Saccharomyces cerevisiae S288C: one gene and its partner. The protein of the gene in region 2 binds, or shares a complex with, the protein of the main gene of each other region. Each region holds a gene or a part of one and is shown on either strand. Other genes may lie near its edges. A codon is read from its position in the direction of its gene.

Evidence for each region. The genes of interacting proteins can lie anywhere in the genome.
Region 1: the proteins of SNU66 (region 2) and HUB1 are in contact, whole or in part, in a crystal structure (PDB 3PLV), measured with the Saccharomyces cerevisiae proteins. Residues at the interface, in NP_014953.3 of Saccharomyces cerevisiae: Ser37 (codon at 2,207), Leu38 (codon at 2,210), Ser39 (codon at 2,213), Ile40 (codon at 2,216), Thr43 (codon at 2,225), Leu46 (codon at 2,234), Arg47 (codon at 2,237), Leu50 (codon at 2,246), Leu52 (codon at 2,252), Lys53 (codon at 2,255), Leu54 (codon at 2,258), Ile55 (codon at 2,261), Pro56 (codon at 2,264); in NP_014430.1 of Saccharomyces cerevisiae: Met1 (codon at 2,001), Val14 (codon at 2,040), Arg15 (codon at 2,043), Lys17 (codon at 2,049), Cys18 (codon at 2,052), Leu19 (codon at 2,055), Asp22 (codon at 2,064), Asp26 (codon at 2,076), Lys29 (codon at 2,085), Val30 (codon at 2,088), Leu33 (codon at 2,097), Gln34 (codon at 2,100).

The regions. Positions count from the first base shown.
Region 1 is NC_001146.8:686,743-689,464, reverse strand, and holds HUB1 (ubiquitin-like protein HUB1), read left to right. Parts: upstream 1-2,000; coding exon 2,001-2,222; downstream 2,223-2,722. Other genes in the region: ABZ1 (4-amino-4-deoxychorismate synthase), read right to left, coding at 1-1,830; putative serine/threonine-protein kinase PPG1, read right to left, coding at 2,349-2,722. UniProt on the Saccharomyces cerevisiae protein: Forms conjugate with SPH1 and HBT1. Involved in morphogenesis.
Region 2 is NC_001147.6:894,528-898,485, reverse strand, and holds SNU66 (U4/U6-U5 snRNP complex subunit SNU66), read left to right. Parts: upstream 1-2,098; coding exon 2,099-3,862; downstream 3,863-3,958. Other genes in the region: RNA-processing protein NOP58, read left to right, coding at 126-1,661. UniProt on the Saccharomyces cerevisiae protein: Component of the U4/U6.U5 tri-snRNP particle, one of the building blocks of the spliceosome. Required for pre-mRNA splicing.

The DNA of each region.
Region 1 (2,722 bases), on a different chromosome or scaffold from region 2:
GGCTTTTGCCAAGTTCATTTGCGGTCCTTTTTTCACAGTTCCCTTGATGGGACGTAGCTCGCATGTGTCTGCATCCCACTTCAAAAACCTTTCTGGAGAAGTACTTAAGAAGCACAAAACTGGAGGCGTTTCATCTTGGCGGGGAATAATGTCTTTAAACTCAAAAAAACTTGAAAATGGAGCCGGGTTTCTTTGTACCAAGGTCTGGAAAATCCTCCAGGGTTCTATCACCGCAGATGGTACAACTTTGGTTTGCGTTGTGAGACACATTTCATAAGAATCACCCTTATGCATATAATCCTGACATTTCTTAAACGCCTTAGCGTAGTCAAGTTTATCGGGCATAGTTATAATGAAGTCTATCTCCTCTGGAAGATACTTGGGCCAGGACAGGGATTGCTTAATATTCTTCTTTCTAACAAAACTGTCCCTTAATGATTGTTCTAATGCCACTGGAAATGTATTATCCAGAGAAATACAATAAAGCTTCCCTTGCTTGTGATTAATGACTATACTATTGTTGATAAAAACTAGTTTGGCGTCGGGAACAAGGGAATTCTCATCATCATTGCAACGGCCGCATGCAATGTACTGACCTATTTCATAACCTAAAATGCCAACAAGACCTCCAATAAAAGGTATTTCTCTGTGGTTATCGATTATTTTATTCTCCATAAATTTACCCAAAGTGATCCAAAATTGGGATTTATCTTCATGTATTACCTCAAGGGAGCCAGGCAAATCCGAATCTTGACCATCTAGACACTTTTTCAACAAGGTGTAACTAATTTCACTATCTTGCCAATAATGAACTGTAGTCTTTTTCATAGCTCCATAATGAGTGAATACCTGGGATGCGGAGTTTGGTAAAGCAATGATAGACCATTCACCCGTATTTTCACTAATCACAGAAGATGACATGACAAATTTTTCTTCTCGTATGATGTTGCAAATTTCAAATGTCAATTTCGGGTCTTCAGAGACCTCGAACTGCTTAACGTAAGTTGTGTCCTCGCCCTTCGGATATTTCTCTTTTACCTTGTATATGGGGTCTCTATCAATAGTCCTATCCAATCGAGATAGGATATCGGAAAACTCTCCATTAAGTTTCTTCTTTTCCCACCTTCCTGTCTTCACGTTATTTATGAAACTCAACTTGAGAAAGTTACTGACTAACAGCCCCCCCAATTCTGAACAACATGACTCCGGGTGGTACTGTACGCCAAACCATGGCTTATTTTTCGTTTGAGCACTCATCAAAAGAATACCGTTCTCATCTTCGGTTGTGCATAAGGGCAAAAGGGTGTCAATGCCTTCGGCATTGACATGCAATGAATGGTACCTCGTAGATTTGAACGTATCGGGATAACCAGAAAAAAGGCCACAAGCTCTGGCTGCATCGTTTAAATGCATTTCATACACTTGCCCATGCTTGATAGTATTTAGCTCACTGACATCAGCACCTTGAGCCAAGCACATTGCTTGGAACCCAAGACATATACCCAATATTGGAACTTCATCTAACTTTCCATTGGCATTCTCGAAAAGCTCAGATATTATACCCATATCTTGTGCACCATTGTTGGGATTCCCAGGTCCTGGGCCAACAACGATAGCATCAAAAAGCGGCAAAAGTGGCAATAGCTGATCCATAGATTGGAACGTATCACTATGTACCGTCGTCACGTGCACGGCGTTGACTCCCGGTGAGATATCAGTTTGTTGTTCAATTAGTCTCACTACATTGTAGGTGAATGAATCATAAGAGTCTATGAACAGGACATGAAGCTGTTGCTGTTGTTGCTTTGTGTCAATTGTATCGGACAGCATTCCTTTATCCCCCTTGTGAAATCTCGAAAGGTCATCGTGTAAAAGTTCTACGGGAGACTTGCTTGTTTTTATATATTCGCGGTTTTGGCTGAGAGAGATGAGGAGGGAGAGGAAAAGATTGAGAAAGAGGAGCGGTGGCAAAGCTTAGATTGCAAATAAATACTCTGAAAATGATTGAGGTAGTTGTGAATGACCGATTAGGCAAAAAAGTCAGAGTGAAGTGCCTTGCTGAAGATAGTGTAGGTGATTTCAAAAAAGTATTGTCCTTGCAAATTGGCACCCAACCAAACAAAATTGTGTTGCAGAAGGGTGGAAGTGTTTTAAAAGACCATATCTCTCTGGAAGATTATGAGGTACATGATCAGACAAATTTGGAGCTGTATTACCTGTAGAAAATGCGCTGTTTTTTTTTTTTTGATCTAAATACACAATACATACATTTGCAACCGAGAGAGATAGAATATGTAGAAATAATAAGATGGCGTTGTCTCTATAATGCTTTTCTATTGTTTAGTAAGCTACAAGAAGTAATCAACATGTCTGTTAGAAGCAGATCTGGCTTGGTATACATCTGAAAATATGTACATTTCAGGGTCCGTGGAGCCATCTGCGGAGGCAGAGTCGTCTTCGAAATAATCTGCAATCAATTTCCTGTTGGCTACCGGATTAGATATGCTATCTTCTAAGGCATTGTCGTTCATACTGTTCTCTTTCAACAGTTTATTTTCAGGTGCCTCTTCGAAAACGTTGAAGTAGAATTGATCTTTACTATACAGCTCCAGAATAGATGCTTTATTGCCGCACCGATAACAATAGTTTGGCGCCGACCATACAGTAGTAACCAATCCATCAAAATATATCTGGTAACCTTCGTTACATAACTGATGGGCTC
Region 2 (3,958 bases):
AACCTCATCGAAAATTTTCAGAAAAGCAAGAATTATTTATGCTTTCGCAAAAATTTCGCATATAAGTTATTTTTGAAATAGCAGTCGATACCAAATTAGCTGTAGAACCTCAACCTCCTCATACAATGGCTTACGTTTTAACTGAAACTTCAGCTGGTTATGCTCTTTTAAAAGCTTCCGATAAGAAAATCTACAAATCTTCAAGCTTAATTCAAGACTTGGATAGCTCTGACAAAGTCTTGAAGGAATTCAAGATCGCCGCCTTTTCCAAGTTCAACTCTGCAGCTAACGCTTTAGAGGAAGCCAACTCCATTATTGAAGGTAAAGTTTCTTCCCAATTAGAAAAACTTCTGGAAGAAATTAAAAAGGACAAGAAGTCGACCTTGATTGTTAGTGAAACTAAACTGGCAAACGCTATTAATAAGTTGGGATTGAACTTCAATGTTGTTTCCGATGCTGTAACCTTAGATATCTATAGAGCTATCAAAGAATATTTGCCAGAATTGCTGCCAGGTATGTCTGATAATGATCTAAGCAAGATGTCTTTGGGTTTAGCTCATTCCATCGGTCGTCACAAATTAAAATTTTCTGCTGACAAAGTTGATGTTATGATTATTCAAGCAATTGCTTTATTGGATGATTTAGATAAAGAATTAAACACATATGCCATGAGATGTAAAGAATGGTACGGGTGGCACTTTCCTGAGTTAGCTAAGATTGTTACTGATTCCGTCGCTTATGCGAGAATTATTCTAACAATGGGTATCAGATCCAAGGCTTCTGAAACAGATTTGAGTGAAATCTTACCAGAAGAGATTGAAGAACGTGTCAAAACCGCTGCTGAAGTGTCTATGGGTACTGAAATCACTCAAACCGATCTAGACAACATTAATGCTTTAGCTGAACAAATAGTCGAATTTGCCGCTTACAGAGAACAGTTGTCCAATTACTTGTCTGCAAGAATGAAGGCTATTGCTCCAAACTTGACTCAGTTGGTTGGTGAATTAGTTGGTGCTAGACTTATCGCTCATTCAGGTTCCTTAATTTCCTTGGCCAAATCACCAGCTTCTACCATCCAAATATTAGGTGCCGAAAAGGCTTTATTCAGAGCTTTAAAGACCAAGCATGATACACCAAAGTATGGTTTGCTATATCATGCCTCTCTTGTTGGTCAAGCTACTGGTAAGAACAAAGGTAAGATTGCAAGAGTTCTGGCTGCTAAGGCCGCTGTCTCATTGCGTTATGATGCTTTAGCTGAAGATAGAGACGATTCAGGTGACATTGGTCTAGAATCAAGAGCCAAAGTAGAAAATAGATTATCCCAATTAGAAGGTAGAGATTTAAGAACTACTCCAAAGGTTGTTCGTGAGGCTAAGAAGGTGGAAATGACTGAAGCTAGGGCCTACAATGCAGATGCTGATACCGCAAAGGCTGCTTCTGATTCTGAATCCGATTCTGATGATGAAGAGGAAGAAAAGAAAGAAAAGAAAGAAAAGAAGAGAAAGAGAGACGATGATGAAGATTCCAAGGATTCTAAAAAAGCTAAGAAGGAAAAGAAGGACAAGAAGGAAAAGAAGGAAAAGAAGGAAAAGAAGGAGAAGAAAGAGAAGAAAGAGAAGAAGGAAAAGAAGTCCAAGAAAGAGAAGAAAGAGAAGAAATAAGGATGCATTTTACATTTTAATAATTAGTGACCCCTCGCGTTCCCTTTTATTTGGATTTAGAAAATTTTCTATAATTATCCAATGCTTAACCTATTTCTCATTTCATATTTTATTCCATAATCTGTAAATTAGTGCTGTACGCCCATATTGAATTGAACTTATTATTTTTTTTAGGTGATATATTTGAAATAGTATACATAATTTATGTTTACATAGTTTTAGGTACTTTATATCATTAAAAGTTTTGTTTAACCTTTAAAAAATTTGTACCATTAGCAGTTATAGGTATTCATATCGTGAACTGCGCAACTTAAAATTATTCGCGGGACGAAAAAGATATACAAAATTTTTGAAAGTGAGCAAAGGATGAGATGGTGCAATCGTTACTATTTGATATTAATAAAAAGGCAATCATCACATCAACCCTTAATTAATTTATGAACAAAACGGAAAACCTTTCTATTGAGGAGACAAATGAAATAAGGGAAAAGCTGGGTATGAAACCTATTCCAGTTTTTCAAGAAAAGAATACAGACCATAAAGAGTCTTTGTCAATCGAAGAGACGAATGAGTTGAGGGCGTCCCTTGGCCTAAAACTTATCCCACCCCAACAAAATTTCAATTCTTCTCCCCCTAATGTACATAACACATCCAAAATCGATGAACTTCGAGAGAAGATAACAAAGTTTCAAAAAAAGGCGAACGCTCCTTTACGAATGGCGCACCTTCTCGAAGAAACTAATGTAAATGACGACAGTTCATGGCTAGAAAACATGGATGCAATTCCTTCCTCACATGAATCCAAACGTTCCAGCACATTGCCAAGAAAAGGCGCCACGAAGGAAGACGAAAATATTGATCTGCATAATGTTCAAGTATCATATAATATCGAGGCGCTTAGCCCAAAGAAAGATACGATTCTAACTTTGAAAGAGAGCAGTATTTTTGATGATACTGATTCTACCGAAGTGTTAGAGAATGTGAAAGCTGCCGAGGAAAACGCTGATAGAGAGAAACTACGATTACGACAAATGAATAAAGATAGAAGACAAAAAAAAAAAATTTTAAATGTATCTAGCTTAGATATTGAAGAAGAAGAAGAAGGAGAGAAACACTCAATTACAACTACACATCTAATCATCGGAGCAGAACAGGGTGTTATGAAGGCACCGAATACTATATCAGCAAAACCACCAACGGGAAAAGTTAAAGTGAATTTCGATAGCGCAAATAATATGTCAGATGAAGATGGTGGAGACTTTAAACCTTTAAAAATTAAAAAACGTAAGATCAAGGACCCAAGATCTACTAAAGCTAGGAAGTCAAAAATTACTGATAAGATGGAAATTGTTAAGTTAGTAGATGAAGATGAAAGTTTATCCTGGATGGAAGAAGAACAGCCAGTCACCATAATAAATCCCAGAACAAGCTCAAACAATGAATTGAAAGGGCCAGAGGACCTCGCTAGAGAAATTGAAAAGGCAAGAGACGAAGAGAAGCGACGCACTGAAAGCATTTTGAAAATGCGTGAAATTTCCAACAGTATTGTCGTCGACGAAAAGGTAACTTTTTTAAATACTTTGGATACCAGTCTCTCCGAACGAAGTGCTACTGAGAATAAAGTGAAAGTGCATGGTGAAGGAGAGAAAAATATCGGAGATGTTACCAATGGACATACTAAGGAAGGGAGTGGAAACAATACACTGACTGAAGCAGTTAATAATGAACCAAACTACGAGGGAGATGCTGAAAATGCACCGAACTTTTTTTCTGGTCTTGCATCAACACTAGGATATCTTCGGAAAAAGAGTGTTTTCACCACAGGAGACGTCGATTTGAAACCAGGAAAGGATGTTAATAATAGTGAATCACTTCGAAGGGATGTCCGAAATAAAGAGCATACGGGCACTGGCACTTATACAAAAGATAAGCTACACGGACTGGAACAATTCACATCTAGTGACTCTTCCAATGCAAATACTCATTCAAAAAGACAAGATCATTATGATCCTGACATAAAACTGGTTTACAGAGACGAAAAGGGAAATCGACTGACTACTAAGGAGGCATATAAAAAACTGTCACAGAAATTTCATGGTACAAAAAGCAACAAGAAAAAGAGAGCAAAAATGAAATCCAGAATTGAAGCAAGGAAAAATACCCCTGAAAATGGTAGTTTGTTTGAATTTGATGACAATTAACCTAATCAGCAAATTCTACTAGCCCCAGCTTTTAATATTCAATATCTTGTTTTTCTCAAGTTTGAAACCTGTGTATAATTGTATTTGGTGTATAAG